Ovis aries: one gene and its partners. The protein of the gene in region 2 purifies or fractionates together with the protein of the main gene of each other region. This does not show direct contact. Links are inferred from orthologs where the notes say so. Each region holds a gene or a part of one and is shown on either strand. Other genes may lie near its edges.

Region 1 (3,745 bases), on a different chromosome or scaffold from region 2:
CCCAAATAGCTTTTCAGAGAAATAACGTGGAAAAGAAGGTTCAGGGCCTGTTTCACTGATCTAACCTGTTTTCTCATATATGATTAAAAAATTAAAACAAAAAATCCAGATGGGAGTGGAAATGGCTTGAGTTAATGTCAATCAAGAAGAAAATGGAAAAAAAAAAATCAAAGATAACCCTCCAAACCTCATTCCAAGATTCTCCCCTTTATATATTTTCCAGAACAGCTGATGAGTTGTCAACAGTTATTTTATTGAGCATTGCAAGGTGCACAGCATTGTACATAGCTTGAAAATGTCAGATTGACTCATCACATCCTTTATAAAGGCTTCCCCAACGTCCATGTTTTGTGGGTTTTCCTGCTGTGCTCCAGGGATGCTAGTACCATTGCAGGCTTACCACGATGTGGTCCATGGATCAGCTCACCACATCCTCCCCACTAGATATCTGAACTCCTCAAAGATGGGATGCACGTGTTGTCAGTCTCTGCAACTTAGATGTTCAAATGCACGTTGGATGGATGAATGACCAGTGTTTCGCTCTAGCTCCTTCTTCAGATCCCTTCGTCTGCATTTAGGGGCAAGTGCTGATGCTGAAGTGAACACTCACAAGGCACAGTGGAACAGAGGAGTGTCCACAGGCGTGGCTGATCCAGACTAGAAAGTCAGCTCTGCAGTGATGAAGAGCTGGCTGACCTCTCCAAGGGCCTGAGAACATAGCAGAGCCACAGAAAAACCTTCCAGCCAGAGACGGGGCTCATCAACTCAAACTTCCACCCCAAAGGCCAACGTGGCTCACTGGGGTGGGCCAGCGGTCTGGCCACCTTCTGGGGCTGGTGAGCCACAGGCACAAAGACCCACAGTCCAGAGTGGAGGCTCTCAGCCACCCAACCTTGGGGATTCGTTTTCCCTTTATTATCCCTTTCCAGATTTCAAAAAAGGCCACACCATAATAAATAAATAAGACACTAAACAACTAGAACTGAAAAGGAAGACATTTTTGAATGGTTCTCGAGAAAAGTTTAGATGCCCTGCTTCTTGCATGGTGCCAAGGGGCTCAAGCTGCCATGGATGGCCCCCGTGGGCCTTTCGGTATGCAGATAGGTACTCTGAGGGGACATTAATTCCACGGGAGGCAGCAAGCTTACTGGTGTGCATGGACGGCTAGTTGCCTCATCACATGGGCCAAACCCATTTAATTCATCAGAGTCCAGTTTGTTCGATGGATGATGGAGAAAAACTGGCCCTAGACCAGGGAGGCACAGATCTGACATCCAAGGTGTGGGATGTCACCTCGGATAGGACCCGAGCAGAAGACCTTGGCTCCCGGTCTACCATCAGTTGGCATCAGGCGTCAGCTTTCTCATCAGAGGCGGCTTTGGTCAGGCTGAGCTTGTCTCTGGCCAGACCATCTCTCTGGTCCCCTCTGAAATTCCCTTACTTTCATCTGCCAGGATTCTACCTGACCCATCAGTACAAAGGCACACTCTTCTCCTTCATGGCTCCTCACGCTACTGAAATGAAGGAAAGCCTGACTACAGATTTTTACGGTCACCAGCAGAAGTGTTGGTAAAATACTGCCTAAGAGTCTTAGATAATCTAGTGTATTACTTCCTATGACAGGTTCATGGTCTGGTGTCCCACTATCCTACCTCACGTAAGAAATTGGTCAGGATGGCAGCTTGCCGGCTGCCCTGGTACTTCGGGTCCAATTCCATTATTCTTCTGCAAAAAAAGTAACTCTCATCACACTCACATTTCTTGGGCATCAACTTGATGCCAATGGTTCGCCCATCCTTCTCTCCTCGTTGCCTTTCTGGACCCAGGTCTCTGCACTAAACTTTCAGATGCATGGTGGCCTGCACCCCCAAATCAGCAGTTTACACTGGGTCCTACTCTACCTCACAGGAACTCTTTAGAACACTCAGAAAAATCCAGATGATTCCCCCTCGGCGCTAGAAGGCAGAGCAAAGTTTGGGAGCTTCAGCTTCTTCCTGTTATCATTTTTCAGTGCAAGAATTAAAATGACAAGTGCTTGATCAATAAATTGGAGATTAGCTCTCATAAATAACTTGCTTTAATGGGAGAGTTATGTTTTCTAGCATCAAACACACTATAAAAATAATTTCCTGAGATAATGATTCTGAATCAAGACTATATACATATAAACTTAGATATATGTGTCTATGAATTTTTTTTCCAAGATGGCCAGAAGAGTTATAATTTTCTGACTATTTTTTTATACCTTTATACTAAAACCACCATTTAAGGACAGAGTCAGAACATTTTACTCTATTGGGTACTTGCTGGAAGTTTAAGAAAGACTGATCTAGTATTTTGCAGAATATGAATTTTTGTATCTTCTCAGCCAGAGATTTAATATATGTTGTTAATCCAAGCTTGGTTAAGGATATCCTCAGACCTACGGCACCTATTCAGAGCAGAGGTCTGATCTTTGCACTCCCTTTTTAATATCTGGGTAGCGTTCAAGGGGCAAACAATCTTAGCCCTTGCATTCAGAATTTGTTATGCCATATTTGCATATAATGCTTACCATTAACTCAAAGGAAAAATGCAGCAAAATTCAACTTTGGAGAAACAAAACAACCTTACAGATCCTTGGGAGTCATGGAAAGCTAAGGGACATAACAGATTCTATATCCTAAGAGAGCTGTTTCAACAAGGAAGTGGTCTGTACCTCACCAAGTCAGCTGAGCTGGGGAGAAAGAGAAGCAAAATGATAACAAATTGGCCAGGAATACTTACATCAGTTTTGTCTTGAGTCTCAGAGAGTAATAGCAGGAATAAATTCCTTTCTACTTTTCTCAGAGACAGTTTGGTTTAAAGTGGTCCTCTTCCAGATTCTTCTTCTGTAATTTTTACTGATCACAAATGAACACTAGCATATATCACAAGGTCTCCTGTATCAGAGGGACTAACTGAAGGGGACGGCTTGGAAGTTCACCCACATCCCAACAGGCAACCTACACATAATCCCACCCTGAACACGTCTCTTGGGTTAGGTTGGAACAGGCAGACACCCCCACCAAAGGCCAAAATATAATTGACAGTGAACAGAAAACCATAGTATAGACAAAATATTCCAGCTTTCTCTATTATAAAAAAAATCAAATTCACTGGGGCCGGGCACTCATTATTTTTTTTTTCTATAACTCCCCAGGATTGTCAAAAGTAATCTTGTAGCCAACCCGCTTGCAGACAGTAAAGATGACCTGAAATAGACCACCCATGGTGCCAAAAGCCGTGTCAAAGAGCAGAGAGAGGATGCCACCAAGGCCCATGGCAATGTCCCTGCAGACAATCGGAACTGCGCCTATGGTGTACACGGGGAACGTGGCCACGTCCACAAGCACCCGGACAGGGACACCCACGACGCGGCAGACCACCTTCAGCAGGCAACAAAGGATCCGGAGCACGGCCCTGGTGATCCTGACCGTGACTTTGAGGACCTTCCAGGGAATGCTGCCCAGTTCCTCCCCGATGGTCAAGAAGTAGGTGATGGTGGCTGACCCCAGGCGATAAAGGCAACTTTCTAGACCGTTAATCACCTGCTTGGTGACATACCAGAGGAAATACACAGTGTACTTCAGGATCCCAAAGGCAAGGTAATAAATTAACTGGCAGAGCTTGATCAACGGGGTAACGACAAAGCCCAGGAGTCTTCCCAGAAGACTACTCCCTTCCCCAGATGTCTCCGGAGGAGGCAGGGCAGACCTGGTTCCCC
Region 2 (3,645 bases):
CCAAGGCCCTGAGGTCACAGCAGGGGCTGAGCGCACCCAGTGGGCGGTGAGGGCCAAAGAGGCCCCATCTGCCCACCTACCCAGTGTGTAGAGGATCCGTGTCATGAGGTTGAGGCCCATGAACATGGCCACCCAGCCGGCCGCCCGCAGGCCCCACGTCTTCAGCGAGTTGCTCTTCTGTTCCCGACGAAACACCTCCTGCAGGACAAGCAGGGAGGGGAGGTGGCCACAGCCCACCAAGGGGTCTCACGCCGCCCCGCCGGCAGGCGCTGGGCTAGAGGCCCCTCTCTGTACCCTGTCCTCGTGGCGTGGGTGAGGCCTGACCCTATGTTGAGGATGGGGGTACGCGGGTCTCCCTGGGGGTGCCTGCCCTCACTCACCTGGTCCTGCAAAACTCACTCTTTCACCCCAGCTCACACGCAGCTCGAAGGGGCCTCTGCCTGCCCCTCTGTGCTCAGGGCCACACGGCGCCCTGGCCCTGGCAACGGGGGCCCTGGGCTGCGACAAGACTGACCCACCCGGCTCTTCACTTGGGACTCAGCAAAGATGTTGCTCGCCACCCGCTGCCTAAGGAGGCTCCTGTTACCACGTCTGCCACCTCTGGGCATCCGGGGGATTCTCTGCTTTGCTCACCGCTCCCTCTCTCTGGACACCTCACCCTCTATTGCCTTCTCTTGCCTCACGGCCCTGGCTCTGCCTCCGTGGGGGCGGCTGGTGACCAGAGCACTGGAGCTGCACCAGTGCGCCACGCGGCACGCCGCGGCCGCTCACCTCTGCCGAGAAGTCCCCGTGGTGCAGGAGAAGCAGGGTGTCCCCCGACTTGGTGGCGTAGGGGACCAGCTGGTCGCCTCGCTGCCGGGCAATCACGGTGACCTGGTCAGAGACCTCTGGCTCAGAGCTGTGGGGCCATCTGCCCGTGGGGCCATTGCCCTCCTCACTGTGCACCAAGGCAGCAGGGAGCCCCGGGCCGCCCCAGCCCCTGCCGCCACGTGGGCCTGGGGGAGGCGCTCCCGCTGGGCTGCTCCCTCCACAGCCCTGGGGAGGACCCGGCGGGGGCGGGGCGGGGGTGACAGTCTGGAGCGCAGGACCAAGCATTTACAGAGCAGAGGTCAGCGCCCAGGGAGAGCGCCTGCACAGGGCTGGAAGACCCTCTCCAGGCACCGCGCTGAGACCCTCCAGGGCCACTTGCCCGTCTGGGGCCCGTGGATGTACGCACACACGACGGGGAGGGGTATGCCCTAAGCACACACCTGGGCCCAGGTGTCTGCACCTGGGAGGCCCCCCTTGTCCGCCTGGGGAGCCGCTTACCACGTGAGCGGGGCCCAGGTCAGGGTCGTCGCTGCTCAGCCCCGCGTAGGAGAAGGAGACGCGCAGATCCCCAACCTGGGGTGGAAGAGAGGCGCGTGAGGGAGGTAGGAGTCCGAGCTGGGGCCCAGGGCGCCCACCCGCCCACGAGGGGGTCACACCACCCCCACCCGCGCCCAGGTAGCCCCACTGCGCAGACAGCCGCTCCCTCCACCCTTGCCGGCTCGGACTCGCGCGCGCTGTCGGCGGCGGGACTCAGGGGCCCCGACCTCTGCCATCGAGCGCCTGAACCCGCTGGGTACCTCGGGGTACTTGGGGTTTTCACTGTGGTAGAAATAGTCCCCCCGGCGAATGATGTCCACATGCGGGTCCTCCAGCTTAGACAGGCTCAGCGTCTTGAAGTTGTCCACTTTGTCGATGAGCCCTGGGAGGCGGGTGGTCAAGAACAGTGCGTGTCTGCTGCAGCCCCGCCTGCAAACCCGCAGCCTGACACCTTCCCAGCTGGCCCCACAAGCCCGGCTGCAGGGTCGCCTGCCGGCGCATCCCCCGGGGCCTCTGGACACCTGCTCTCCCACCCAGAGGCCCTGCTCCAGCTCCGTCTGTCCACAGGGCCAGCCCCTTCAGCCTCCAGCGCCTCCAGGAAGCCAACCCCGTCAGGCAGTGACGGCCGCCCGGGAGGGCCTCAGCCCTGTGGCCTCTGCTCCCCAGGCCAGTCACCTGCGTCCCAGCCTGGCTCCCTGCCGCCCCGCAGCACGAGGCCGGGCTGCCTGGCATGGCTGGCACCAGCTGAGGGCCAGAGCACACGGCCGACAGCCCAGGCCCTGCTCACACGATCTCTTCCCTGCCCCTCGACGCGCTGACCCTAGGTGTCCTCGCTCCCTCGCCAGGTCTGGCCAGGGACAAGCCCCAGGAGTTTCGATGGCAGTCTCACAGCCATGCTGTCCCCTGCAAGCCCCTCTCTGTGGGAGGCCCTCCGGGGTCTGGCTCAGGGCCGGGGGCCCGCGGGGCTCAGGAGTGGAGCCCGGGGCCTTATGTGGGCTGCCCTCCAGGGCTGCCTGAGGAGGGGCTCTCAGCCCCGCCTGCTCAGCCCGGCAAGGACCCACACCTGGCAGCTGCTCCCTGAACAGGTTTCGGGGGGTTCCACACAGGGGCCCCTTCCTGGGAACACACCTGCCCTCTGGCCCCAGCCCAAAAATATGACGCTGGAGAAGTGCTGGCTGGCCCCTGCCCAGGGCCGCAGGAGACCCCTTCAACCACCCAAGGACTGAGTCAGGGCCCCGGCTCCTGGGAGGCGACCGGGTGGAAGTGCAGGGTTCTGGGTCCACGGTGGCTTACCCAACAGCCTGAGACTCACCCGCTGAGAGGAAAAACCTGCCGATCTGGACGAAGGGGGCTGTTGCGGTGAACGACTCCACGGCCATCGCGCTGGGGAGAGGGGGGAGCTGTTGGCGATGTGGGGCACCAGGGGAGCTGCCACCGTCCCAGGGGAGGTGTACGGCAGGGTCCGCACCCAGGGGGCTCCTGCCAGCCCAGCCCAGCCCGGCTCTGCAGTCCTGTCTTCCCCTGACCCCATCCCCTGCTGAGGAAGGGCAGCTTCCGCTGGCTTCCCATCGCCCAGAGCTTCTTACAATCTTGCCTGGACCCCTGCCAGCCTGTCCCACCCTGCCCCCGCAGCTGTCAGACGGCCCTGCCATGGACTTCACACCCTCCCCTCCAGACCCTTCCTGCCGGCATCCAAGCCTCACTGGGAACGTTCAAGGCCCTTTTTGGCCTTGCCCAGGTCATCACAGCACACAGCCCACACAGGCCCTGTCCAGCATCACGCCCGTCTCAACACCCTCACCCCTGCCCCTGAGCTAACCATCCTCTGCCGGACCCCTGAACAGGGGCGTCAAATGCAGCCGCTCTTGAAAGCCCTGCGGACGGTCTCCCCACACCCACCACTGACCACCCCTCTGGGCACTTGGCCCAGCCTCATACCCAGGCCCTAGGGCCAGGGGCGTCAGGCCCCGCCTCTGCTCACGGTGCAGGAGTGGGCCTCCGAACCCCAGCCCACATTTCATCAGCCCGCGAGACAGAAGTAACTCAGCCCCATTACTCAGATGAGGACGCGGGGCTAGGAACCTGCCAGGGGCTGGTTCTTACCTGGGGTTTTTGTGGCCAATCTCTCGGTCAAAGTTTCTGCTGTTGACGATCTCCGACCTCCATTCTGTGTCTGTTTTGAGCAGAAGGAACATGGGGAAACCACGGTAAGCCTCAGGTTTGAGGCCCGCCGGCCGCCCGTCCTCTTATCCAAGCCTGGGACCACCCACAGGCCAAAGGGGCAGCTCCTGGAGCCTC
Region 3 (3,745 bases), on a different chromosome or scaffold from region 2:
AAGGTATGAGAAAAATAGACACTATGGGTTGTAGGACATGGAGAAAAACTGGGAAGAGGCTGGAGAGTTTTTTGTATCTTTGTCTCACTGAACCACATGAACATGTTACCTATTAGCTAAAGAATATATACTTTCCCCCTTACTTCCAGCCACGTAGATAGAGAAAAACGCAAAGAGAAAAGGTTTTGGAGACAGATCTAGGTTCCAGTTTGGGCTGTGATACTTCCTAACTGTAGGGCTGTGGGCAAATTAACTTCTTTTTGTTTCTGTCCTCTTATTTTCAGAAACAGGGGTAATATTGGCTTATTTTGGGGTCATTACAACAATGATTAAACTAATCCTATACAAAGCTTCTGGTGGACTATCTGGTGCTGACTAAGTACCCAGTAAGCAGTAGCTATTTTATTACCAACAAAACTTCTTTGATGTGAACACATTCTTAATACAAAAAAAGTTCCTTGATCAAGTCTAAGTTATGTTCATTAGCCGATCCGATTCCTACATTCAATATTAACACTGTACAAAACAATGAATGTAACCCATATGATAAATACTACCCATTACATTATCTAGAAATTTAAAATTAACATGTTACTTACATGCATTTCAAGGCAGATATTAGCTGCTTTATTTCTAGCTGCCTAGATTTACTGAATGAATGCAGTCACAGAGGACTAAGTATCAACAAGGCATCAGGAAAACAGGTAATAAGTTGCTATCCTTTAGAAACTGACAACCTCAGTGAGCCAAACAGGTGTGACCTTCAAGTAACCATGGCCCCAATTTGGCAGAAGACATGGAAATTCTGGCAATGAAGCACCCAATTCTGTAACATCCCTTCAGTTCAGTTCAGTCACTCAGTCGTGTCCGACTCTTTGCGACCCCATGAATCGCAGCACGCCAGGCCTCCCTGTCCGTCACTAACTCCCAGAGTTCACTCAAACTCATGTCCATTGAGTCGGTGATGCCATCCAGACATCTCATCCTCTGTCGTCCCCTTCTCCTCCTGCCCCCAACCCCTCCCAGCATCAAAGTCTTTTCCAGTGAGTCAACTCTACACATGAGGTGGCCAAAGTACTGGAGTTTCAGATTTATAGGATGTTAAATCACATGGTAAGGAAAGGTTACTCTGTAAGCATTTTCTTAGGTTTGTGGGTTGCTCCTTCATGAGACTGTGTTTTTAATCAGCTGTAACTGTGGCAATAGCAGCATTCTAAGTGTTACAAAAGATGGGTCACTCAAAAGCCTTACTACTTGTTTGAACAGTCACATCATTATTAAAGCATCCCTAAACAAAAGTTTCTTTGTTATACATTGAGTTGAATAATTTCAGACCATTTTCATGTGAGATGTTCTGGCTCAGATTTGCCCCAGCCTGCAGAGATGAAGCCTTAGAAAAAAAACATCTGGGATTCAGGGGGGGAAAAAATTTTTTTTTTGTTAAAGACAGGAAATAAGGGTGAACATCTTCCAGGATTTCAGAAGTGTTAGTGAATGCTTCCAAGAAATGAAGGTGTAAGGCCAGAGGAAAATACATTTTACTTCATATATGGCACAAGAGGGGAGGAAGAGTGGTGAGGAGGGATGCTTAACAACAACAAAAAAAATCTACGTAATCATTCAAATTATTCTCTTGGAAGCAGAAGGGTCTTGGGAGAAACACTAATACTAGACTGTAGAGAAACCATAAACACTAATTTCTAAACAGCTTTCACCAATGCTGTAAATATGTTATGGATAAGCACCCGGGAGGAATGACTGACTTCATATTAGCAAGCAAGTCTTATGGCTGAGCCACAGGAGGGTGCACACTTGTATTTATCCCCTAGCTTCCCATAGTGAAACCTTGAGGTTACATATTACAGTTGAATGAAGGTTGGATTAAGAGGCTAATCTAATGCTATATATAGACAGCAACACCAATTTAATCTCCGCCCCTTCCCCCTCCCCTCCCTATTTCCATAAATCTCAAGATCTGAGTTACAAAGAGACTGGCAACTCTAGCAGAGTGAAGAGGCCCTTCCTCCCCCCTCCCCCTGACTGTCTCCCCTAAATCAAGTATTAGTGCACGTGTAAATTGCTTCCAAACACCTTTTACAGGCACACAGCGCGATCGGATCCGGTTTTCTTCTACAGCTTCCAGAGAGGCCGGAGGAGATGACAAGTGGGGGCGAGGGGTAGGTTGCCAGAAGAGACATTCTCACATGCTTTCACCTCGCTTGTAATGGGGAGCTCCTTTCCTCCCCACCCGTAGTTGAGAGCCTCAACCTTGGCTTCCTCCGGAGTTGCATCTGGCGGTGCCACGCACGAGACGCTGGGCACCCGCCACTTCCCACCGCGTGGCCAGCCCCTGCCCGCTCTTGGTCTCTCGGGGCGGCCAGACGTGGCGAGTGGTGGGTCTTTACTCTAGGGCACCGATACGCTGTATAAGCGATGGTAATGGGGTGGAGGGGAGGCTTCCCCACCGAGAGGCAGGAAGCAGCCCGAGCAGGCACATGCTTCCTCCCGGCCACCTTCGGCCGGAGGGGAAGCTCCCAGTCGGGCTTTGGCTCCGGTGGTCTAAGGCTTCCCGGCTCTCCCCTGCCCTACCTGGTTTGCTTCTCACCTGTCCGAGGAGGTAGCGGCGACGCGCGAGGCTGGGGGCTGCGGCGATCCCGGCAGCGGCGGTGGCAGAAGCGGCAGCGGTGGTGGCAGACAATGGAGGAGTGAAGGACAGACACATTGACATCCACACGGAGCTCGGCGCAGCCCCGCCTCCCACGCCGCCCCGCCTCCCAGCCCGCCCCCGGCCCGGGCCGCTCCACTTCCAGGGAAATAAAGGGGGGGGTGTATAGCGAGAACTAGGGAGATGCATGCCCAAAGAAGAAATTTTTGAACACAGAAGTTTCAGATAGAGAATTTAATTATTGTGTGTCCTTAAATATCTGAACCGGAAAGAGTGGCTTGGGGGAAACGTGCAAGAAGCATTTAATTACCCCCCAGTGATTTTCTCCATTTGGTTTTTCCTCCCCAGGCCCTTCCAATGGGACAGCCTCGCCGCTGCCTCCTGCAGCTCCTCCTCCCTGCCGGGCCAACGAGGCGCGGGGGGCGGGGACGACCGCTGGGCCTGCGGAGACCGCCCGCCCGGCTCGCCCGAGCTCGCCCGCTGCTCGCCAGCTCCTGGAAGGAGGAGAGAATTCGAATGCTTCCGCGGTTGGCTACTTAGTGTCCTAGTCGCAAGTTGCCTAACGTTGCGGCTGGCTTTCCTAATACAGAAACGTCGTTTCTTTTTAGTACTCCCGAAGACACAGAATAGCCGTCAAGCTGGCGGAAGCAATGGTTCACATAAAGAAAGGCGAGCTGACCCAGGAGGAAAAGGAGCTGCTGGAAGTCATCGGAAAAGGTGTGGGTGCTGGGCTGCGACGGGGGCTTTGCCTGCCTGGCTGGGGAGCGGAGGGAGGGGCGTGGCGGAGCCCGGGCGGCGCCCCAGACCCGGCTGACCCCAGGTTGCGGTTTTACGAGGTTGACACCCTACCACCGGGAAACAGCGCTCCTCCCTTTGGTCTGGGACGAGTTGCGGGGGCGGAGAGGTGGGGAGGGAGAAGCGCAGCTGGGACGAGAGCGGAGGTTGCAGACTTTCGTCCTCTGAATCAGCTTTTAGAAGGTGGCACCTTTCCGGGCTCCACATCGGATAATAAAGAACCACCCGGGGGTGGGGCCTCAGAATGTGCATTCTTCAAAACTCCTCAGGTGAATTGACCACAGC

Evidence for each region.
Region 1: the proteins of TMEM43 (region 2) and ENDOD1 purify together in Homo sapiens (affinity purification with mass spectrometry; 3 studies listed by BioGRID and IntAct, with this or other methods). This does not show direct contact. The link is inferred for Ovis aries from reciprocal best matches to the Homo sapiens genes TMEM43 and ENDOD1.
Region 3: the proteins of TMEM43 (region 2) and BZW2 purify together in Homo sapiens (affinity purification with mass spectrometry; 3 studies listed by BioGRID and IntAct, counting the BioPlex papers as one, with this or other methods). This does not show direct contact. The link is inferred for Ovis aries from reciprocal best matches to the Homo sapiens genes TMEM43 and BZW2.

Annotation. Positions count from the first base shown.
Region 1 is NC_056068.1:14,965,465-14,969,209, forward strand, and holds the end of ENDOD1 (endonuclease domain-containing 1 protein), read right to left. Parts: coding exon 3,168-3,745; 3' UTR 233-3,167; downstream 1-232. UniProt on the Homo sapiens protein: May act as a DNase and a RNase. Plays a role in the modulation of innate immune signaling through the cGAS-STING pathway by interacting with RNF26.
Region 2 is NC_056072.1:57,993,146-57,996,790, forward strand, and holds part of TMEM43 (transmembrane protein 43), read right to left. Parts: intron 3,521-3,645; coding exon 3,451-3,520; intron 2,731-3,450; coding exon 2,660-2,730; intron 1,730-2,659; coding exon 1,608-1,729; intron 1,384-1,607; coding exon 1,309-1,383; intron 874-1,308; coding exon 772-873; intron 199-771; coding exon 81-198; intron 1-80. UniProt on the Homo sapiens protein: May have an important role in maintaining nuclear envelope structure by organizing protein complexes at the inner nuclear membrane. Required for retaining emerin at the inner nuclear membrane.
Region 3 is NC_056057.1:26,115,105-26,118,849, reverse strand, and holds the start of BZW2 (eIF5-mimic protein 1), read right to left. Parts: upstream 2,708-3,745; 5' UTR 2,590-2,707; intron 1-2,589. Other genes in the region: ANKMY2 (ankyrin repeat and MYND domain-containing protein 2), read left to right, coding at 3,316-3,382. UniProt on the Homo sapiens protein: Translation initiation regulator which represses non-AUG initiated translation and repeat-associated non-AUG (RAN) initiated translation by acting as a competitive inhibitor of eukaryotic translation initiation factor 5 (EIF5) function.